Caenorhabditis elegans: one gene and its partners. The protein of the gene in region 1 interacts with the protein of each later gene in a pairwise test. Each region holds a gene or a part of one and is shown in the gene's direction. Other genes may lie near its edges.

Region 1 (5,323 bases):
CCCATTCCGCCGGTCTCCACCACCTCTGCGTCTATCGCTGCTCCACACTATTTTGCCCCTACCCCAGCTTCAGTTCGGATGTCCGCAATCCGGATTTTGTTCGTTTCCTTCCTTTTTCGGGCGGATCAACGGCTTCTTATCTGATATGATTCGGTTTGAAGGAGATGAAGATGGTTGTGTTGGGGGAAGAAAAGAAGGAGAAGCCTAACCGGGGGAGATTGTCAGCCAGCCACCCCCTGCTGAGATATTGTGTTTAATGACATTTTCCATTTTTCCCGAATTATCTATTTTTACAACAATCCATACCTTTTTATCAGATTTTGCTAAAGTTTTGCCAACTTTCGCCAACCTTCGTTAGACATTTGTCAACTTTCAAAAAGCAATTGCAATAGTTCCAAACTGCTGCTCAATTTTTGACCAACTTTTTTGAATTGTTTCTATACTTTCAATATTTTTTAAAAACAACTTTCGCGAACTGTCGCTAGACTTTCGGCAAGAAACAACTTCTTCTGAATCTACGACAATTTTCTGCAACTGTTATCAGATCTTCGACATTTTGAGCAACGTTTGCCAACTTCTGTTAATTTTTTCTAGACTTTCAGCAATCCCCGCAAGGTTTTTACGAACTCCGACCAACCTTCGCCAAAATTTCATCAATTTTCACCAGTGTTTTTCAAGAAGTTGCGTTTTTCTCAAACTTGTGGTAGATCTTTGGCAGACTTTTGTTCAATTTCAGTCTATTTTAACTTTCGCTATACTATCACCAATTTTCATCAACTTTGTGCAACTTTCGTCAACCAATTTCCCTCTAATTTTCATTCCCAATTCCGCTTAAAGCTTCAACTAAAAGCAAAATAAAAAACCGAATATCCCCCAATTTTCCAATTTTCCTGCACCGGAAAAAACATAGAGCTTCTTCCCCTTCTTCTTCTACTCCATCTCCACCCACACATACTACCGGTTCTCCTAGATTTTCAGTCTAAACCATTTCAATTGTGTCTTACGGTAGTTTATCATGAGATTTAGATGGAATTGAAGAAGAGAGAAATGACACGAAAGAGTGTGTAAACTTTTTATTACATTTTGGAAGACTAACCATGTCGTAGTACACACTCAGGCTTTTTGGCTTTTTGTGTCTAGATTCCTCTGCATGATCTACAGAGATTTTTTTGGCAGATTGCCAAAATTTACTTAAATTTCTGACAAAAAAATTAAAATATTTTTTTAAAAAGATTTTTGTTTTAAAGTACTAAAACGTAACCTTCTGCAATTTCAGAAAGTTATAATCTAGATTATTAAAAAATCTCACAATTTAAAGTTTCCAGAAAATTTTTAAATCTGAAAATGATTTTGAAAAACAATTCGGCATTCGACAAAATTAATGTTTTGATTTAAATTTTTTTGAAATTCTCTTTTTTAAAAGTACCAGTTTTCAATATTTTGTTATCAGAAATATTTCAGAAAAATTTTGATTTAAAAAACATTAACTGAAAATTCAAAAAATATTTTTTTGTGTTGATTTTAGAAATTTTAAGATTTTTTAAAATTGGGTTTTGCAAATATTAATCTTTTGAAAATGTTTTAAACAAAAATTAACAATTTTTTAATATGAATATTTTAAAATTTCCCTTTAATTACACAATTTTTTCTACATTTCTCCAAATTAAAATAGTTAAAAGAATAATTTTCAAAAATAATTCAACATTTGAAACAAAAAACGGATATATGTATATATATATATATATTCTTATGTCTTATTTCCTTTTTTCCATTTCTAGATTATCCCAGCTTCTGACTCCCCTTAGCCTTTTTTTTCTAAAAATCTCAAATTTTTCCGTTTCAGACCCCTTCTAAATTTAAATCCACTCAAACAGATGGCCTTCCAGCCGGCGTTTAACGCCCGTCTGATAAACGAGGTTCGTAAGTACCCGTGCCTATATAATCATTCACGACGTGGCAGCGGGGACACAATGGAACGTCAACGACTTTGGGAATCAATCGCCAAAAATATTGACCCGAATTGTGCGGCAGAGTTTGCGAAGAAACGATGGTTGCAGCTGAGGGATCGATATCGGAAAGAATTAAAGATTGCAATTAAAAATGGATTTGTGACACCTGTTAGATGGTGTTATTTTAATCAATTATCGTGGTTGGACCCGTTTTTGAAGGATAATATGTAAGAATTGAATTTCATAATTATTTTTCAACTCGTTTTTTTCTGGCCATCACAAAGCTAATTTTTTAATATTTTTTCTAATATTTTTTTGTTGAAAAACCGCGAAATTTTTGGTTTGTAGGCATATCAAAACAAAAAACTGAAATTTAAAAAATAAGTTCACCTAATTTGAAATATATCTAAAGAGTCTAAATTAACACTTCAAAAATTCAGAAAAAAAAATTTGAAAAATCTCATTAAAAAATCAAAAGTTGTAGATAAAATCAAATTCAAAAAAAAACTTCAAAAATACTAAAACATTTAATTAAAATTCCAGAATTCTTTTTTTTCTTAAATTAAAAATTATAAAAATTAAAAAAAAAACAATTTATCGACAAAAAACTGATCGATTCGAAATTTAATATTTTGAAAAAAAATTAAAATTTTCTACAAAAAATTAATTCAAGATATATCAAAAAGAATCTGAAAAGTAAAAAATAATAATTTAGAACTCCGCGATTATAAGTTAAAATTCTCATCTTCAAAGTCTATTTTTTGCAGTGGTCAAGCAGCAGATGAAGGCAAAAAAACTGGTAAATCTGACTCTTTTGATGAGCCATCAGGCACACCGTTCAGCTGGTTCGGTTTTCCAAATTTAAATTCAATAAAAGACGAGATGGAAGATGATGATAGTGATCCAGCACTCGAATCTTCGGTTTTAGACCGACTACTTGCACAAACCGCCCAACGATTGGACAGTATATCCCCTGAAATTGAAAATGATGAATCTGGAACTCAAAGTCTCGATGGAAATCTAGATGGAGTTGATGGGGATGGAGATGAGGAGGAAGATCTTAAAATAAAAGATGAAGATGAAGTAGAGGAAGATGGCCCAGAAAAGGTGAAAAGTCAATCCGAAGCTATGGCGATGCTCAAGGAGGCTATAAGTGCTCAGAGCCAACAGCAGACTCAGCAGGCTCAACAGGTCCAGCAGGTCCAACAGACCCCACAGAAACCATCAGTGGAGTCCCTCATAGCAGCGAATCAGGCTAGATTTGCACACCATCTTGCTGCACAGCTCACTGGGATGAGTTCAATGCTCAATGGAGCCAGGAAATCCGAGGAGGCAGCGATCCCGCCGCTCCGACCTTCAACACCACCGCCAACCGCGTCCACTACGAGCCACTTCCATCCTTATAAAGAGGCGGCGAGGAATAGGCATAGGCAGCAGACTGCGGATAATGTTATGAGATATCATTTGCAACAGGTGAGCGGGTTTGGAACATTTGGTAAAAAAAATTTTTTTCGGAAGGATCGTGATTTTCCTGGATTTTTTGGAGATTTTTGATTTTTTTAAAATAATTTCTCTGAAACTTTCTTAAATTAAAAAAAAATTCTAGATTTTTTGTAAAAAATATTAGATGCGATTGAAAATAGTTTGCTGAATTCTTGGAAACTTCGGATTTAGTTCTGTTTTTTTTAATGTTACCTTTTTTCGGAAAATTTAGTGATTTTCAAGAAAAAATGTTAAAGTTAAAAAATTTTTTAATGAACTTTTCGGAATGATTTTTTGAAGGTTGAAGTGTATAATTTTCAGAATTTTTTTTTGGTTTTCTGAATTACATTTAATTACTTTCTAGATTATTAAAATTTAATTTTTATTAAAAAAATATATTCGGAAACATTTTAAGTGTTTCTAGTTAAAAAAAATTTTTCGAATTTAAATATTTATTTCAAGTTTTAAGAGATTTTTAAATCGAAGTTTCTGGATTTTCTTACCAAAATTAGGATTTTTTCTCAGCAAATTTCAAAAATTTATAACGTGTTCCTACATTAGAAATTTTAAGAAAGAATTTCTAGAATAATATAACTTTTTTCCAGGTCGGTCGGGTTGCTCTTGAATGGCTCAATGATGAGGATTTATTGTACAGCCGGATAATTGGGTTGAAGCTTAAGAAAATGGACCCGAAAAAACGGAAAAAGGTGAGAGATTGTTTTCAGATATATTCAACAAGTTCAGACTCCAACTTTTTTCAGGTCCGTCACCAAATAATGTCACTACTGGACGAAACCGATGACACCCACCATATTGTAGACAATGATGACTCTTGTAGCAGTCCATCAGCACATAGTCCAACCGGAGAGCACGATGAAGATTGCGCAGTTGAGCCAACGGCAAATGAAATTCCAACGGCTTGAAAATTAGTCTTTTGTTTGTAGTATATGGGTCCCCCCCCCCACGAAAAAATGATTTGCGCCTTCAAGCTAAAATGCAAAAATATGCCTGATCGGTTTAAAAGGCGCATAATTTATTTTCGTGTCGAGACCTAAATTCTGGTAGGCTACTGTAACATTGAAAAAACACTTCCTTTATTTTTCAAAATATCTATTTTGTGTTTTCTTATTGGTGCTCTCCTCATTTTATTAAATGTAGAAAACGAAAAATGTTCAAAAACTAGTTTTTAGTGTATTCTCACTCCCCGTCGGTCTAGTCAGTGCGCAATTCTTTCACTTTTCTTTTGTTCCCTCCATAATTTCAGCATTTTTTTTATTTTTTGAAATTAGTCTCTACAAACACCATCATCTTGCCTGTATATTTTTGTACCACGATTTTTTTATAATAAACGTGTATTTTTTGGTTTTGGACAGAGCGCGTGCTCCCTCCGACTCGCGGATTCTGAATTGTTCTGTGTATTTTGGAGATTTTCCTGAAATTGTTAATTTTTGGAGAAGAAGGAATTTTTATTTGCTAGACCTTTCTGGAAACAGCTAGATAACTCTAGTTTTTTAAAGGAGTTTTTAAAAAACTTCCGAAAATTTTTTTTTTTTTCAGAAGTTCTTGCCCAAATATTTCAGACATTTTTCAGAAGTTTTATCATATCAAATATATTTTGTAATTTTTCCCACATTTTTTCCAAAAATTTCCTTCACGTGAACTTCCACAATTTCAACCGATAACATCTTCCATGCAAAATGAATTATTTCCAACAATTTGTTTCAACTTTCCAACCGGTCAATTAAAGTTGCACAATGTATCAATTATTATTCTACAACGTCATCTGCGCGATCATGTTTTTCATGACTATAACCTCAAATTGTCTGAAAGGGAAACCGAAAGAGGGCAGGTTAGGATTAATGTTTCTAACTAAACGTGGGAGATTCCAGAGC
Region 2 (7,646 bases), on another chromosome or scaffold:
ACTGTCTTTGTTTCTGCCTATATTTTAATTGCCATGGTAGTAAGAGCATTCCGAGACTCTCTTAGTCTCACAAATTATAAATTTATCGCGATTAACACATTTGTAAGTTATTACTATCTGGTAAAGCATTTCAAAATTGAGATTTCAGATATTTCCTTACGTGTCATTGCTACTTTCTATGACAATTTTGGTGACCACCAGGAACGAGTTCCAGAGAAGACAACTCCGAGAGCTGAACCAAAATGGGAAAGGAGTATCGCAAACTTATTTCAATCTATATCAGCGGCAATGGAGCGTTATTTCCGAGAGAAAATGAATTTATCATAAATATTTTGTGACTAGAAATTGTGTGAATAATGTAAATTCGGGTCATCGTTTTTTTTTAATTGTATAAATTTAATTAATGAATATATATTTTTTTAATTTCTTATTCTGCATATTTTATATAAAAAGTGTTCTATTATTTGTTGGATTGTTGTTTTTAGGGCTATTAAATAGGGCATTTTCTCAATTTTTATATCATAGAGCGCGTATATGGATTTGTTTTTTTTTTTGTTGAAAAAAAAGAAAAACTAAAGCTGTTCTTTAAAATAATTTAAATAGGTATGTATGTATTTGAATATGTGGTTGAATAAAAGCAACAAATACGTGGTTTTGTAGCAATTTTCAGAAAATAGCTAAGCCAGAATACTTCCGTTGTTACATCTTGTCCTATAATCATTTTCAAACAAATTGTTCAGTTTTGTGGGTTCGGTTAAAAGATATAACATGATAAGGTTTCGATCTGATATGATCGGAACACGTTTTCTGTTTTCACTTTTTCAATCACAGACGACTATGTCTGCCATCCTCTTGTCTTACTCTAACATCATTTGAAAAATCTTAAATTGATTAGGTTTTTTGTGGAATTTTAAAGATAGCTTAGTATTGAAATTTTTTTGAATGTTACAATTGGAGTGGCATGGATTCATTGAGATGGGTTCCACCGCAAAAATAATGTTTATACCTACTTCAAATTTTTTGGGGATATTCTTTAAAACTTCTAAAAAGGGAAACGAGCAGTCGAAAAATAAGAAAAAATGCAAAAAATTATAGTTTTGTTTCTAAAAAATTGAAATGTATTTGATATCAAATTTGATAAATATGCTATTATAATGAGTTTTACCGGCATTTCGAAGTTTTCCTTCCTTGAATTTAGTTACTTTCCAAATTTACATCATAAATCTCTTTCTTATAAAATAAAAATTCATCTCTACACAAAACAATGTTCAAAAGAGCATCAAAAAGAGCACTTTGTTCGTGAGATGTGAAGAGAAAGGGTCAACACATGTTATTTATCACCGTAAGTCCGTTGAGGGGCCGCCACTATACGGGTTGAAAAGACGAGAGATACACCCCGCAAAAGAGACCCAGAGAGTGCGATGGAGCGCGTTTGCATTTCTTACTCAGTGTTCACCCGTTCTATCGATTCCATCGACAGTATTTTTAAACTCCACAGGGTTATTAATTACTAAAAATGTGTTATTTGAGAATTTATTGATTTTGAATTTTTCTCAATTTTTTTTGTTAAAAATTTATCGAATATGTTCACCGAATACAGTATTTTTTCAGAAAATGGAACCTGGTTCGGGTTCTCCGTTATCGGCTCGAGCGAAATTTCAATTCGAAGGTTCAAATAACGATGAGGTGAGGTTTTGTTTCCCACACATTCAAACTTGTGAAATTTTTTTTTAATTTAAAAAATAGTACATACTTAAATTACTTTTTGACAAAAGTATCATTCCACGAATTTTCAGCTAAGTTTCGACAAGGATGACATCATCACAATAACACAGCAGCAAGAAGGCGGATGGTGGGAAGGAACACATGAAGGAGTGACCGGATGGTTTCCGTGTGCCTATGTAACTCTCATCACAGAAAAAGGTAACTTGAATCGGAAAATTCGAGCTAATACCCACAAATTGCAGACAAACTCCAGCGATCTCGATCCGTCCCAAATGCAACTGCAAAAGGTATATCTCATGAAGATTTACTCGTTGAGACAATTCAAATTTAAAAATTCAGAAGTGGTATCCGTCGGAGCTCAACCAGATTATCGAGACCTTGTGCTCAAAAGTTATATTGAATCGGAAAAGGAGTACATGCAAAGCTTGCTCAAAACGTTGCAATCTCTATTGATTCCAATTGGGGCATCTAAAATGTGAGTTTTAAAATGTTTTTTTTAACTTTCAAAATGTGAATTTAATTCATTGCGGATTTTTCTTATTGCTTTTTTTGTTGATCAATCCAGATTCTAAAAATTGATAACTTGAAATTTGGAATGATGGGCACCTCTGCGCTATGAAAAAAAGTATCTTAAAAAGTGGGGCGAGTAGCTCACTGTTTCAAAATACAGTCACAGGTCCCATTTTTCAAAAAAAAATTGAGTCTAGCTAAAGCTTTAAAAAAGTATACCTAAATTATTACCTAAATTATTCATATTTATTTACAATTTACTTTGAGATTTACATTGAGAAAAACATCAAGTTCCATTGCATTTCCGGTGGATTTTCATTTTTGGGTACGACAATAATACATTTTTGACAATTTTCAGCTTGACGGCTCCAGAATACTGTACGTTGGTTGGGAATTTCGAAGTAATTTACACTCTGAAACGTGATCTTTTTGAACAACTGGAGCGTGAGCAAAAGTGAGTTTTAATTTCTCCAACCTTCTTCAACTTTCTTATTTCAGTGAGGAGCTTCCAAAAATGAGAGTCGGTGGAATGTTCATGAATGCTGCTCTTGAGCTCAGAACGGCACTAATGAGTTATGCTGACAATCATCCAGACGCTGTCGAAGTTCTCAAGAAGAAACAGTAAGTTTTGACAGAGCTAGAGAATGTATCGAATGTATTGTTTCGCGTTTTCAGGAAGGAGTTGGAAAAGGTGGTAAAGTCGCAGGATCGGGAGTACAAGGAATTGGTGTTAGGACTCAGTGAGCCACTCCGGCACGTCGAGAGGTACTACAACTTGCTCCAGGAGCTTGAGCGAATTGTTCCGGTGAGTATTTGAATCTAAATGAGAAAAAAAAACATAGGTCAATCGATTCATTAAACTCTGGAATTTTTTTTCATAGAGAAAGCACAGTTGTTTAATTAAAATACATCATTTTTGTGAAAATTTTATTATGATAATTTTTTTATGTTAAATTATCAAGTCTACTCATGTGAACAAACGTTGTTAATGCATAATAATTTTTATATCATTTTGAGTCAATGAGATCATCATCAAAAAAATTTTCAGGCGAATCATCCGGACCGTGGAGATTTACAACGTGGATCGGCAGTTTTTCGGGAAACAAAGGTGCGTTGTTTTAAAAATATTAGAAACACAAATCTAACTGACTCACAAGAATTAGGATCAACAAGTTTTAAAATCAAACTATTTTTAGGATTTGTGTGAAACCCTTCGTAAGCAGAAAGAAGCCCAACTCGACTTCTTGTTTGTGTCAAAAGTGGACAAGGTGGTTTCAGCGTCAGAACGAGGATCTATTCTCTATGTGGGTGTTGCAAATGTGGAATACAAGAAAGCGGATGCAGTGGATCGGTGAGTTGCCGAAAATTTTACCTGTTCAAATTTAGAAGTGATTTCAGATTCGTGGCATTGTTCACTAAATACATTATGTTTTTCGAAGTCACCAAGGATATGACATACGACATTAAGGAGAAGTTTACAGTGTCCGGTTTTATTGTTCGGAAAAAGGAAGCTACTGAAATTTCATTTGGTAAAATATTCGGATAAAAAATTAAAATTAAAAAAAAAAACAAATTAGTAACCCAAGTTTTTCTAGATCGCCCCAACACTGGAGAATTCACTCTAACGATGGTTTCAACCGGGGGTGAGGTGGAGAGATTCCTTGTTGCTTTGGCGAAAGCTGAAAACGTGGCAATCATCACTCCGACGACAACTATCTTGAGGAGACCTTCCAAAAATGCTAACGATACAATGAATCAATCACAGACTCAAGGAGCAGAGACTCCTCTGGTCGCAAAACCCCCACTTCATCCCCCAGGAAACTCGGATCAACAGTATAGTATGATGAACAAAAGAAAAAGCTCGAAGAAGTGAGTGTTTTCATGTTAACCGTGTAAAATTGGAATGAACAGACAATTATCAAAAATGTCTTCGCAACGTTTAACCCTCAATTATTTTCGATTAAGTTATATTTCTTTTCGCCGCCCGGTTAGCTCAGTCGGTAGAGCACCAGACTCTTAATCTGGTTCTCGCGGGTTCGAGCCCCGCATTGGGCTTAGTTTTTTGTTCGTTGCGATTGGTTTTCCTATTACAAGTATTTAAAGAAATTCCATGATTTGCCAAATTTTGAGATTAAATTCGTGATACCAGTTTGTATTATTCTCAAAACTTCAAAAGTAGTACCAAAACGGAAAAAAATTAAAAAAAATTTTTTTTGAATATTAAACACTGTATTGAAAAAAAACAGCGTGGCGTTTATGCACAGATTTAAAAAAACATAATTTTTGAAATCTGTTCAAACACGCTACGCAGTTTTTTCTCAGTGAAAGTGTACATACCACATACCGAGACGAACAAGTGGCGTCAATCACATTACTGTCCTTGAAAAACGTGACATATTTCTATTTGAAAGGTCGCACCACATCTACTTTTGCCGCCCGGTTAGCTCAGTCGGTAGAGCACCAGACTCTTAATCTGGTTGTCGCGGGTTCGAGCCCCGCATTGGGCTTACGCTTTTGTCTATCTCAAATGATCATTAAAAAAACTTTACTATAAAATTTACTCACTTTTCTAAATTGGGGTGCGAAGTTTCTAGGTGGAATATTTTTTCAACATTAAAGGAATTTTCTTATTAAATCCTATACACTTTTTGAAAGTATCGCTATTCAATTAATTTTCAATGTCGCGAGAAATCAATTTTGCCGGTTTGTTTATTTTAACAGTGTTGGCAACGACCGACGACCTAACAAATTTCAACACACTATTACACTAAAAAGTGCGAGACACTTCCTGACAGCCACAAAGTGCGCCTGACATTTTCACTTTTTAAATTACACGCGCCTCGGTTCCTATCGCCGCCCGGTTAGCTCAGTCGGTAGAGCACCAGACTCTTAATCTGGTTGTCGCGGGTTCGAGCCCCGCATTGGGCTTACCTTTTTTTGCATTTGTCCTCTAGACAAATGTATGCAAAAAGATATTGCAAATACGATTTTGATGGGATGGGATAGAGTATGAAGCGAAAAATTTGATGTAAATTACTACTTAGATTAATTGGTATTTATGTATTAGATGGACAAATCTCTTCTCACCAAAAATCTCTATGTTTTTCGATCCCTCGATTTTGGATAACAAGACTTGGCAACATTAACGCTCACCAATTTAGGCAACACAAGAAATTGTGTGTTCTTCACGGATCAAAACACGAAGACTTTCTAACTGTCGCATGTGAAATTTCGGACTCAATAGATCACGAAGAATAGTTCGTAACAGATACAATGGCTATTGAGATAGGAGAAATTAGGGTGAAAAGTTTTTTGTGTGGACAATATAAAAAATAATGATAAAAAACAAATAAAACATGGAACGAGACCTAAATTTTGAAATTTTCAGCTTTGATGACAGTTTAAACTTGGGAAATATGAAGTTCGATCATGAACTCGGAATGGTGCTCCCTGAAGGATTTGAGCTGCCAACAAGCAGTCGCAATTCAAGGAATACTGCAGGTAGGAGATATTTTGTTATTTATTGTTTTCTCTGTCGTGATTATGATTATCAACTAACAAAAATCTTTTTCAGATAACCTGCAATTCTCCCAGTTCCCATCGTTTTTCCTAAGCGGGAACGCCGGCAAACGAGGTGATCGTAACATTCGACTTCGAAAAGACGCGGCTCGTGATGAGGAGATTGAGTTTGAGACACTTCGAATTTTGGAAGGATACTGTGTGGAAACTGGTGGCGGACAGTCGGACTTCCATGCAAATGAAAGTTATCAACAACCACATTTGATTGTTGCAGAAGATGAGAAGATTCTGATGGAGGAGATGATTGGAGATGAAGTTGTTTTGCAAGAGAAGTAAGTTTTTTTTTGAACGATGAGACCTTAGAAGAGTCCAGTTCAGTTTTTCTAGGGTCAAGATTGTACACAATTTGTAAAAAAATTTAACCTTTTCGTTTCCTCTTCTCTTGCTGAATCATAGATATTAGGGTGGCGTATATGAAAAAATTGGGTGGGAAAATAACGGACGAATAGGAAAATCGATAATTGATTGATAAGAAAAACTAACTTCAGCAAACCTGAAATATCTAGAAACTTTGCAAAATTGGAATCCCCCCCCCCCCCCAAATTGATGTTTTTTTAGTAAAGAAGTTGATTTTTCTAAGGTTCTTTTAAAATTTCTGTTTTTTTTTTTCAAATATGTCCAGTGTTGATTCCCAAGTAGAGTAATTTGGGCACGTGGCTCAGCTTTGAACAATTTTTTAGTTCTCAATTCAAAACCGGCCAAAACGTTTTCCACTGTGTATTTAAAACTGAATGAGTTCTCAACTGATTTCGCATGGTTAAGAACGTGCTGACGTCACATTTTTAGCAACAAAAATCCCCCATATTTTGTAGATCAAACCGTAATCGGACAGCCTTGCACAACGTGCCAATAGTGATATTCCTAACAAGGCCCTTCATTTCGAAGCCAAAAAGAGATCAAACATTTACTTTCTGTAAAAATATAATTTTTGATCACCAGTAAATAATGATTGTTTTCATCTAGTCATGTTTGCTTCTTCTTTTTCTTCTTTTGTCTGTTTTGCATATCGTCCATTTTCAGTTATTATTTTTCGTACTGCTTTTAAAGAAAAGTAATAAGCTGACAAGGAAAAACAAGTATCCCCAAAGATAACAAGATGAAGAGGGGATAATTTTTGTAGAGACAATTTTTTGTAGTTTCCTTGTTTACTGATATTATTTGGTATTATAGTATTATAGCCGTTCATCGGAAATTGTTGTCTGATGAAAAACAGGACGTGAGTTGTTTTTTAGATAACTTTCAGTAGGATAGCTTGTTTTGTCATGTTTTCGACCTTTTTCGACCTTTAAGTGAAAACCATAACAATCTTTATTTCAAATTTCCCTTCACAAGTGTGTAATTTAAATAAATTTATAAGCTATTCTTCAACGAACATAAAAAGATTCGTGCATTTAGAAAACATTTCAAATTTATCTTTAAAACTTTATGTACATCGAACTTAGTTAGACATCGTCTATAAATCTGTCATTTTCATTCGTCGTACTCCTTGAGCACATCGGATGTATTTAGTTTGAACTTGAATAAGTGACCAGTATTTCCCAATGGTCAATTCGCTCTTGCTCCAACGACAATATCTATTCCTCCGACTTGCTCTCTCTTCGTCTATCTAGATTTCCGTTTCATTGCTCATTTGTCACCTCTTCTTTTTTTTTCAGAAGTATTGTGGATGCTGTGTACGCCATCAAAGATCAACTTTCGTTCCTTCAGACCGAATTTCAAAAACTAGCAAAAGTGAGTGAAAAATTCTTCTCTTCTGGTCTGTCACATCTAGCACCAATAATTTCATTTTTCCAGGTTGTTGAATCCGAACAAAAAGCACGCCGTCGTCTGGA
Region 3 (4,012 bases), 6.0 Mb from region 1:
TTATCAAATCTATCATTTTTACAAATTGTTCAAAACAGTTCCATTTCTATTGTTGTCTCTATTTCTCTCCCGTCTGCCAATACTATTTCACTGTCGTTGCAAGTGTTTTGTTAGTTAAAAAGGTCAGGTCATTTCCTCAATCTGTTCGCACCGTGCAGAGTATCGCACCGCAATAAACATATATCCAGAAGAAAGGAAAGATGACAGTCTTCTCTTTCTTGTTTCCCTCTACTTTTTGCTCACTTGTTGTGGTCATAGTCATCTGCTCAACATCACTCTTAACACATTGCACAACAGCTTTTTTTAAATTTTCTTTAAAATATGTCTTTATTTTGAGACATTTGCATCAAACTCCCGTTTTTCTTTCAGATATGAATACTAGCAATTCAACATCAACTTCATTTGGTAGTGATCAAATGGATATTGAAAATCACTCACCAAAGCTATCCGGTGTTGCTCCCAAAAGACGAAGAATTGATAAATCTTCAACTTCATCGGAAGCAAAGATACAAAGAATGGAAGACGCGATGAAGAAAAAATTGGAAAAGGAACAGAAAGAAAAAGCTCGATTGAAGAAACGAGAAGAGACTTTGAAGAAGAAATCTGAAACAGCTGCAGCAAAGAAGAACAAAATTGTTGGAGCTCGTAAGTTAACCAAAATAAATATGCTCAACATTCTGTAAATCACTTTATCATCCCACAATCAAAACCTTAACTGTTACCAAAATTGAACTCGAAAGGTTTTCAGCAAGCGAAGACCCGAAAATTCGAGCTCTCCAATGTGATATCTGCTTTGCATTATTTAAAAATGCTGATAAGAAAAAACGCCATGACCATTCTCATAAAGATGAGCCAGAGGTATACTGTCCAATGTGCAATGCTCCAATCAAGTATAAATACAACTTGAAGCAACATATGAACAAATGTCAACCGAGCCAGAAAGAAATGGAACAAGGCAGTGTGAGTTGAAACTTTTAAGCAAAATGTGTTATATTTTGAATTTCGAAAACTTTTTTCAGATGCTCGCCAAAGCTTACCCGGACTACTTACGTCAACTTCAAGAAGCTGCAGTTAATCCGTCTCTTCCAATGCCAACTTTGAATGGAATGCCATACAGAATGGATCGATATTCATTTGTCACTGGATTCGATATGAGTCTTGATGTTCATTTGGATGTGATGCTCCCGAAATATCCCACAGACGTTTTTGTATGTAATTTGCAGTTATACGTAACATTATGATAATAGTATTTTTTTAGTCAGAAGATGAGGACGCCTTAGACGATGTCAATTTGTTTGATGAGAAGTGATTAGATATTTGTATTCGTTATGGAATTTCATAATTGTCAATTCTTTGTTCATTTTGCCACAGCTGGTATTTCAATCTACATTTTTTCTCGTTAATAAACATCATACGGAATTATTTTTGAAAATTAATTCGAAGCATCAAACTTAAAAGTATAGCTTGGATCGGGCAAATAATTTTGGAACTTTAGCAAACTATATTCTCGTGTTACTAAACATTTTTTCCAGTGAGACTACCGCGTTCTTCTCTCTCACATACAAGACCCCCCACCCGTCCATTTCAAATTCGCTCTATTGAACTACATGTTTCAAACACCGCAAATTTGAGCTCACACAGCTGAGCTCTCATGCTTTTATCAGTTTTTTCTTCTCTCATCCAACTAAATTATCTGTTTAATTTCTCGATTTCTATTCGTTGGTTGTCATAGTGACGATCGATAATTATAATAAAGCACAAGGACTGATTATATACTCAAAAATTATGAAAAAATGCTTACATTTATACTTTGTCTTATGTACATTTTAAATTGATGATTCTTCATGAAAAGCTATGTACCAACAAACTTTGAAAATTTTGTTTCAGTCATGGCAACCACCGAACAACTGGCTAATACCACGCAAAAAGAGCCTGTTATTGATTTAGATCAAGATAGCAACATGGAAATTGCTCATAAAATACAAAACCAAACAAAAAGACTCCCAATTTCCGAACCGGCAAATAAAAATAAAAGTGAGATTTTAAAAATGTATGATTATTGCAATGCATGATTATTAATTTGTGACCTTCAATGTTTTCTTCATTTTTAAAGCTTTAGATGTCACAAGCAAGCAGAATAAAGAAACAAATAGAAAAACATTTGAAAAATCAAAAAGAATGGCAACGTCAACGATTCAAGATCGTGTTTTGAGGACTCAAAAAACTCGAAAAGACAAAGAAAGCACTACTGAAAAAGTCAATGCAATACTTAAAAAATCGGCGAAACAAATTAAAGTCCGAGAAGAGGAAGAAGGAGATGATGATTTGGAAGACGAGTTGACATTGTACCCATCTAAAAGAAAAATGATGGTAGGGTCAAAAAATCGAAAAAGGACTATAAAGCCAAATCGGGATACTATCGCAGAAGAGCAAGAAACTGACGGAGAACACGGAGTAAAGCAAAGTGAGTTATAAATAATAATATTTTTTAAAAATCTATATACATAGTCATCAAAAACTTATTCGGTTCATTTTCACACCTATTCAAAAAACAGAAATTAGCTTGCATATCAGATTTCGAGAAGAGTTTAAGTTTTGAATAGATTATAAAACAAAATATAAACGACATGTTTTTGAAATTTGGGGTAAATTGGCGCACTTCATATGTGATGAAGAATATCTCACTTTAGTTTGAAATTAGTTTAAACATCTATATTCCAGGAGCATTTGATCCAAAGCAAAGACATCGTCAATGTCCAGAATGTCTACTTCTTTTCTCAACTCCGGACAAACTGAAGCGTCATATGAAATCGCATGGAGACGTTCCAGATGTATACTGCTCACTTTGTAACACTCCTATTAAGTTTAAGTATAATTTGAGAGTGCACCTAGAGAAGTGTTATGATAAAATGAAACTCAGTCTACATGATAGTGTGAGTTTTCATATTAAATTTTAATAGTGGTAACGTCTTTACATTTTTTATTAATTTCTCATTATTTTGAAAATTTCAGATGCTCTCAAAGGTGTATCCTGATTTCGTGCGAAAACTTCAAGAAGCTGCAAAAAATCCCGTTCTCCCAATGCCAACTTTAGAAGGAATGCCATACGAATTCACTTTAAAAGGAGTTGTTGGATTCGATACGTCTTTGGATATCACTAAGGATTTAATGTTAGCAAAATATGAGCAAAAGAAACAAAGAGAGGTTAGTAACTATTAATTATTTGATTTTATTTAAAAAGTATTTTTCCAGTTAGCAGGAATTGATTCGGACGATTCGGACGAATTGGACTATTTTGATGATTTCCCAGATGAATGAGATTTTCCACGATAACGATTGCACGAATTGAAATTAATTTATTGAAAACTATACAACTTCCGCGATCTCTCACAAAATTTGCGGCTATTATATTTGTTCACTGTAATTTGTATTAATGTACATTTCATTCCATGATGAATAAATTGTTCAAAATAAGTTTAGAATATTCTAATTTCAAAACAAATATCAAGTGCAAATGGAAATTCATCTGATTGGTTTTAGCAATTGTATGTGGTGCGGTGTGAGATTTTGTTGTCGTGTGTGCATTGTTGCGTCTAAAATACCAATTTCCTGCTGGATACATCACAAAATAACCATGGCAAAGCCTATTTAATTATACTGACATTTTCTTAGTTTGAAAATATTCTGAGCAGAAAATACCAACAAAAAAACTACGAGTGCTGAAAATATTTGAAACAACGCAATTTCATATGAAACAGTTTTTTGTGAATCCTCGTGCAAATTTTACGATATTTATAAAATTATATTCATATCGAGTACTCGAGTACATATCAAGTAGATAAGTAGGCACACAGACAAAACTAAATATCTATTTGTATTTCTTATCTTTTTCTGTTCCTTCTCTCAATCGGATATTTTTCTTACTATGAAACCGTTTATCCACCTACGCAACAATTTTTGTAGCTTTGTTTTCTGAGGATTTCCTTCAAATTAACTGTGATCTAATTGATCA
Region 4 (6,837 bases), on another chromosome or scaffold:
AATTTGGCCGTTTTTCTGGCAAATCGGCAATTCGCCGGTTTGCCGATTTGACGGACATTTTCAATTCCGACAACTTGCCGATTTTCCGGAAATTTGCATGGGCCGCTATTTTTGATAAATTTAGTGAATTCTAGAAAAAAAACTGGAAAACTGGATGCAATATGATAATAAAACTTGATGAAAAAAAGCTTTTTTAGGTTGGTCAATCTATAAAATATTGAAATTCCTATTAAAACGAAAGATTTTGAAAACTAGTTTTCCTACTACTAAAGATTACTTCACCCTTTAAATTTAAAAAACTGAAAAGTCCTCGAAAATTTTTTTAAAGGTTTACATTTTTTTTCGAGCAGTTTCAACTTCCAGATAAACTTTCAGCACTTTTTCAGTTTTTCCAATCCAAATTATAGTTGTTTTCAATCAAATCAAATACTTTTCTATACTTTATCATTAAATGTAGACTTGGAAAACACATTTCAAATCGGCAAGTTGCTGGAATTAAAAATTTCCGGCAAATCGGCAAATCGGCAAAATGTCTTTTTGCCGAATTGGCCAGAAAAACGGCAATTGCCGGATTTGAAAATTTACAGCATATCGGCAAATTGGCAAATCGTCTATTTGCCGGATTGAAAAACTGCAATAGCCGGAAATTTTTGTCAAAATAAAAAAGCAAGTTCTATGAAAATATCTAAACATAACAGGAAACGAATTTTTCAAAAAGGCACAGTTTTAAGTGTTTCCGTCTTTAAAAAAACCCCTCTAAAAATTTCCGGCAAATCTGATATCCGGCAAATGGCAACTCGGCAAATTGCCGTAATTTTTTTTTGGCAAATCAGAAAATTGCCGGAACTGAAAATTCCTGGAAAATCGGCAAATTGTCGTAACTGAAAATTTCCGGCAAATCGGCAAATTGCCGGAACTGAACGTTTCCGACAAATCGGCAATTTGTCTAAAACAAAAATTTCCGGCAAACCGGCAAATTGTCGAAAATGAAAATTTCCACTTCAACAATGAAACATTTTTCCTGTAGGCTTCAGACAAAAATTATATTTCGTCCTTTAATCCTTTTTTAATCAGGTTTCACTTCACTGTGAATCTAATGAATTATATTATTAAAACTGAAAATTCCGAGAATTCATTTGGATAAATTCTAAAATCAGGGTTTCAACTACCAAAATATTACATGGATTCTGCTCAAGAATACATTGTTCTTCATTTTTTCAAACCTTTCTCGAGCCACAGAACCGCTTTTGCTACATGTCCTGGAAAGATTTATCTTTCATTTTTCGCTGTAATGCTTCATTGTAATGCTTCATTGCGTCCCATTTCGGTTTGATCTACAAAAATTGCGGGGAAAGAGACGCAGAGTTCTCAACTGATTTTGCATGGTTAAGAACGTGCTGACGTCACATATTTTTGGGCGAAAAATTCCCGCATTTTTTGTAGATCAAACCGTAATGGGACAGCCTAGCACCACGTGATGCTTCTGAAATTTGGTTTTGGAATGGGTTTCTATAGATACCTTTTTTCAGCTTTTGATATGCCTTTCCAACCCATTTTTATACAATATAATACCTAATTAATCTGTCAATTGCATTTACATCCATCGAATGTACAATTGCGATGTATTGGAAATTACAGCAATCAGTGCCCATCCCCCATCAACAGTCTCTTATCAATCTTGCTAATCACCTTCACTGTCCCCCCCCCCCCCCACTGTCTCAACCACTGCTCAGATACCAAGTATGTCGCACAGTATTTCCTACTCTGTTTTCTCTAAGGCTCTCACATCTTTCCTCTGACTATTTCTCATTTTTTTGATGCTGCCCTCCTCCTCTATTCAATACAATCAAACGATGTCATGATGCAGGCAAACATCATGCATTCACTGTCTTCACTCTTCTTAGCAAGAAGTTGTGTTCTCTTATCACACACACACACACACACACACTGTCTCCCCCACCATTGGTCTCTTGCCTTTTTTTTGACTGACAACGACGATTTTGAATCTAAGGAACTGGGGATAGGTATGTTTTGAAATTTTGGTTAGGAAAATATGGAAGGATCAAGCTCCGCCCTTGATGATTACTGTAGATTCCTGAATGCATCAGTGAGTTCACGATGGGCATCAGGGCTCTTACATTAGGGGCCAAATTGCCGAAGTTCCGAAGTTTCCGCAACCAGAAGCTGCCGGTTGCAGAAACTTTGGCAATTGCCGGTTGCTGGCGACGTGTATGTATATCTCGCGTCCAAAACAGGGTGGGTGGCAATTGTCGTTTGGCGAAATCGGCAAGTCGGCAATTTGCCGGAATAAAAAATTACCGGCAAATCGGCAAATTGCCGGAATTAAAAATTTCCGGTAAATTGGCAAATTGCCGGAATTAACTATTTCCGGCAAATCGGGCATATCGGCAAATTGCCGGAATTAAAAATTTCCGGCAAATCGGAAAATTGCCGGAATTAACTATTTCCGGCAAATCGGGCATATCGGCAAATTGCCGGAATTAAAATTTCCGGCAAATCGGAAAATTGCCGGAATTAACTATTTCCGGCAAATCGGGCATATCGGCAAATTGCCGGAATTGAAAACTTCCGGAAAATCAGCAATATGTCGAAACTGAAATTTCCTTTAAATCGGTAAAATGCCGGAATTAAAATTCCCGGATGATCGGACAAATCGGCAAATTGCCGGACCTAAAAATTACCGGTAAATTGCCGGAATTAAAAAATTCCGGTAAATTGGCAAATTGCCGGAATTAACTATTTCCGGCAAATCGGGCATATCGGCAAATTGCCGGAATTAAAATTTCCGGCAAATCGGAAAATTGCCGGAATTGAAATTTCCTTTAAATCGGTAAAATGCCGGAATTAAAATTCCCGGATGATCGGACAAATCGGCAAATTGCCGGACCTAAAAATTACCGGTAAATTGCCGGAATTAAAAATTTCCGGCAAATCGGCAAAATGCCGGAACTGAAAATTTCCGGAAAATCGGCAAATTGCCGGAATTAAAATTTCCGGAAGATCGGTAAATTGCCGGAATTGAAATTTCCGGCAAATCGGGCAAATCCGCAAATTGCAGGAATTAAAAATTTCCGCCAAATCGGAAAAGCGGCAAACTGTCGATTTGCCGAAATTTCCGGAAAAACGCCTTTTGCCGAAAATGTTTGGCAAATTATGATTTTGCACTTTTTTTTTGGAAATTTCAAAATTTCAATTTTAATCGGCAAACTTTTTTCCTACATTAATGTTGAAAAATCCCTTTTAAAATTTCTGGCAAATCGGCAATTTGCCGAAAATCAAAATTTCTGGCAAATCGGCAAAATTAGTGTTTTGATAAGAATCAGCAAACTTTCTCATAAGTTCGTTACAAAAACAGTCGCGAACCAATAAGCGAAAGACGAGGAACCAATAAGCGAAAGACGATGCGAAAAATTTTTTAAAATGCACAATTGGGCCTGGCCCGAAAGTTTCAGACAAGACCAAAAAATTCCAAATTTTACAGAATGAATAACGAAACAAGTGGCAGTCGTGACATGATTCTAAAACACTTTGACTCCACGCAAAACAACCAGAATTCGGTAAAGCTGGAACACGAGTCGTCAGATAACAATGAATCGTCAGGCTCCCAGAACTTTGTATTCAACTTTTTAATGAGCCAACTGCAAAACATGGGTCCAGTGGAGATAAAACAAGAAGTAGAGGCGAAGATGTTGGATGATATAGAAGATGAGTACACTGATAATAATTACAATGAAGGCTACTCAAAGATGGATACAGATGGGGATTTGGAGTGGGAAGAGGAATTTAAGAAATTGAATAAAGATCCGAGTAAGATGGACAAGAGAGAACAGGTTTGTGTGGATTTTTTACAACTTCTAGTACAAAATTTAGGTTAGATGTACATGCCCGCCTAACGCCTATTTTTTGTAGTGTAGAAAAAGATTTGTTATATCTGAAAATAATTTCCAAATTTTTCTGAAAAGCCTCACTCAAATCAGGATAGCAATTGGGGCTCAGCAAATTTTTTTGTCGACGAATTTGGCAAATCGGCAAATTGATGGTTTGCCGATTTGCAAAAAATTATGATTTCCGGCAAAAAAAAACTGCCGATTTGCCGTTTGCCGGAAGTTTTCAATTCCGAAAATGTACCGATTTTCCGATTTGCCGGAAGCTTTAAATTCCGGCAGTTTGCTGATTTGCCGATTTGCTGGAAGTTTTCAATTCCTGAAACTTACCGATTTGCCGGAAATTTTCAATTCCATCGATTTTGCCGATTTGCCGGAAATTTTCAATTCCATCAATTTGCCGATTTGCCGGAAATTTTCAATTCCGGCAATTTTTCGATTTCCCAATTTTGCCCGAAAAAAATTTGCCGGAAAATTTGATTTTCAGCAAAAAAAAAATGCCGATTTGCCGGAAATTTTGCTTTTCCGCAATAAAACTGCCGATCTGCCGGAATTTTGATTTTCGGCAAAAAACTGCCGATTTGCCGGAATTTTGATTTTCGACAAAAAATGCCGATTTGCTGGAAATTTCAATATCGGCAATTTGCCAATTTGCCGGAAATTTCAACTTTGGCAAGAATATCAATTTTAAATCCAAATTATTCAGGAACGTCACCGTCAAATGGCCAAAAACCGTGAGTACGCCCGAAAGTGTGTTCAAAAGAAAAAAGATCAACGAAAGCATGCGGAAATTCGAAGTAATCAAATCAAAAAACGCATTCAACTTCTCAAAAATAAAACGGCGATAAAAGAGAAAAATGCGAATTTTGCAGTGGATTTGAGAAAAATGATGTCAGAAATTGGAGTAGAACGGCTGAAATTGGAATATGAAAATGAGAAAATGGAATTGAATAAGAAGTTTGCTGAAATGTTTGCACAGGATGAAACTGTTAATTTGAATTTTCATGTAGGTTTTTTCTCTAAATTTCAAAAAAAAAGTGACCAATTTGCCGAAAATTTATTTTGCCGGTTAGCCGATTTGCCAGAAATTTTCAATTCCGGCAATTTGTCGATTTGCCGGAAATTTTCAACTCCTGAAGTTTGACGATTTGCGGAAATTTTCAATTTACCGATTTGCCGGAATTTTTCAATTCCGGCAATTTGCCGATTTGCCGGGAATTTTCAATAACGGCAATTTTCCGATTTGCCAGAAATTATAAATTCCGGCAATATGCCGATTTGCCGGAAACTTTCAATACCGGCAATTTGTTGATTTGTCGAATTGCTGGAAATTTTTCAATTCCTGCAATTTGCCGATTTGCCGGAAATTTTCAATTCCATCAGTTTGCCGATTTGCCGGAAGTTTTCAATTTGCCGATTTGCCGGAAATTTTCAATTTGCCGGTTTGCCGGAATTTTTCAATTTGCCGTTTTGCCGAAAATTTTCAATTTGCCGATTTGCCGGAATTTTTCAATTTGCCGATTTGCCGATTTGTCAAAAAAATAGCGAATAAATAAAAAAGTCCTACTTTAGTTTGAGTTTTTTCAAAAATGCAAAACTGAGAACTGCGACCAATCAGCGATTTGCTCCGCCCACTTTTCCACCAATCAGATCGAGTGGGCGTAGTTCAAAGATGGTGATTGGTCGGGGAGTTCTCCTTAGTTTGTAAATCCCGTTTTTAAACTTTTTTTGTGGAATTTCTGAATTTCCGACTTTTTCTTTTGAAAAGTCAATTTTAAAATTATTAACCAAATTATAGAGGCTCGCCAGTGCTCGAGAAGAATTTGAAAAAGCTGCTGAAGACCTACGTCTAAAAAACGGAGTAATTGGGACTTTAGGTTCCCGAAAAATCCGAGCAAAGCAGCAAATGGAGTGGAGACAGCATTTGTATCAAATATCTGCACATGAACATGTTCGTTTATATAAATTCTTACCTGAAACAGTCAAAATGAAGAAAATCCCGTTAACTGAAACATTGGGGAGAATGCTCAAAAATTGGCCTAAATTAGCCTAAAGTTCTAGTTGAAAAAAATTTTATTTCGAGACGAATCATGTAATTTTAGTTCATTTTTTAGAATTTCCCAATAAAATTGTAAATTTTTCCAGAATATTTTTTTAAAAATAACTTATTACAGGAGCATCATCGTGAGACAAAACTTGCCGAGTTGGCAGACGAATATGTTAAGCAAACGGTACCAAAAGCTGCTCCCCTAGTCACCTCAATTCCTAAAGACATGTTAGATCAACTAATTAAAAACAATAAAACTTTGGATTTGGAAGAGCTGTGCCGTTTTGTTGCTGATAATTTGTGTTTGTTACAAAATGATAATGATGATAAAGAATCTGTTGTTAAATAAATTATGGAATTTATCCGATGGTTGTACTTTTTGAAAATGTGTTCTTATTCATTTATTCTCCTTGTAGTCTAAATATTTTTGCCGGAATGGAACATTTCCGGCAAGTTCGGCGAACCGGCAATTTGCCGGACTGGATATTTTCTGACAAGTTAGGCAAACCGGCAATTTTTCGGAATGGAAATTTTCTGTCAAACCAGCAAATTGCCGAATTTGTAAATTTCCGGCAAATCGACAAATTGCCGGAATTGAAATTTCCGGCAATTCGGCAATTTGACGGAAAGGAAAATTTCCGGCAAGTGCGGCAAATCGGCAATTTGCCGGAAAAAAACACTTCGGCAAGTTGTGGGTTTGCAAGTTTATTTTCTGGAAATTTCAGAATTTCAAAACGATAATCGCAACATTGCCATAATTGAATTTTCTGGCAAGTTAGGCAAACCGGCAATTTTTCGGAATGGAAATTTTCTGACAAGTTAGGTGAACCGGCAATTTTTCGGAATGGAAATTTTCTGGCAAGTTTGGCAAACCGGCAATTTTTC

What was found.
Region 2: the proteins of madf-5 (region 1) and pix-1 interact in a two-hybrid assay, tested with the Caenorhabditis elegans proteins (one large-scale study listed by BioGRID).
Region 3: the proteins of madf-5 (region 1) and T22C8.3 interact in a two-hybrid assay, tested with the Caenorhabditis elegans proteins (one large-scale study listed by BioGRID).
Region 4: the proteins of madf-5 (region 1) and zip-12 interact in a two-hybrid assay, tested with the Caenorhabditis elegans proteins (one large-scale study listed by BioGRID).

The regions. Positions count from the first base shown.
Region 1 is NC_003280.10:14,571,772-14,577,094, forward strand, and holds madf-5 (Alcohol dehydrogenase transcription factor myb/sant-like protein), read left to right. Parts: upstream 1-1,843; 5' UTR 1,844-1,874; coding exon 1,875-2,176; intron 2,177-2,445; exon of another isoform or gene 2,446-2,638; intron 2,639-2,716; coding exon 2,717-3,422; intron 3,423-4,036; coding exon 4,037-4,138; intron 4,139-4,192; coding exon 4,193-4,354; 3' UTR 4,355-4,790; downstream 4,791-5,323. Other genes in the region: C01G12.13 (uncharacterized protein), read left to right, coding at 5,186-5,276, 5,321-5,323.
Region 2 is NC_003284.9:13,725,688-13,733,333, forward strand, and holds the start of pix-1 (SH3 domain-containing protein), read left to right. Parts: upstream 1-1,605; 5' UTR 1,606-1,614; coding exon 1,615-1,686; intron 1,687-1,796; coding exon 1,797-1,923; intron 1,924-1,967; coding exon 1,968-2,012; intron 2,013-2,064; coding exon 2,065-2,200; intron 2,201-2,593; coding exon 2,594-2,689; intron 2,690-2,733; coding exon 2,734-2,856; intron 2,857-2,910; coding exon 2,911-3,040; intron 3,041-3,283; coding exon 3,284-3,343; intron 3,344-3,431; coding exon 3,432-3,586; intron 3,587-3,633; coding exon 3,634-3,764; intron 3,765-3,830; coding exon 3,831-4,104; coding exon of another isoform or gene 4,105-4,108; intron 4,109-4,210; exon of another isoform or gene 4,211-4,299; intron 4,300-4,663; exon of another isoform or gene 4,664-4,753; intron 4,754-5,070; exon of another isoform or gene 5,071-5,180; intron 5,181-5,623; coding exon 5,624-5,736; intron 5,737-5,809; coding exon 5,810-6,086; intron 6,087-7,469; coding exon 7,470-7,545; intron 7,546-7,608; coding exon 7,609-7,646. Other genes in the region: K11E4.6 (G_PROTEIN_RECEP_F1_2 domain-containing protein), read left to right, coding at 1-102, 149-316.
Region 3 is NC_003280.10:8,619,852-8,623,863, reverse strand, and holds T22C8.3 (C2H2-type domain-containing protein), read left to right. Parts: upstream 1-1,880; 5' UTR 1,881-1,889; coding exon 1,890-2,034; intron 2,035-2,119; coding exon 2,120-2,464; intron 2,465-2,721; coding exon 2,722-2,933; intron 2,934-3,012; coding exon 3,013-3,204; intron 3,205-3,252; coding exon 3,253-3,318; 3' UTR 3,319-3,479; downstream 3,480-4,012. Other genes in the region: T22C8.4 (C2H2-type domain-containing protein), read left to right, coding at 372-645, 749-960, 1,020-1,208, 1,259-1,309.
Region 4 is NC_003281.10:12,325,962-12,332,798, forward strand, and holds zip-12 (BZIP domain-containing protein), read left to right. Parts: upstream 1-1,705; 5' UTR 1,706-1,985; coding exon of another isoform or gene 1,986-2,024; intron 2,025-3,502; 5' UTR 3,503-3,503; coding exon 3,504-3,851; intron 3,852-4,611; coding exon 4,612-4,911; intron 4,912-5,703; coding exon 5,704-5,856; intron 5,857-6,079; coding exon 6,080-6,301; 3' UTR 6,302-6,313; downstream 6,314-6,837.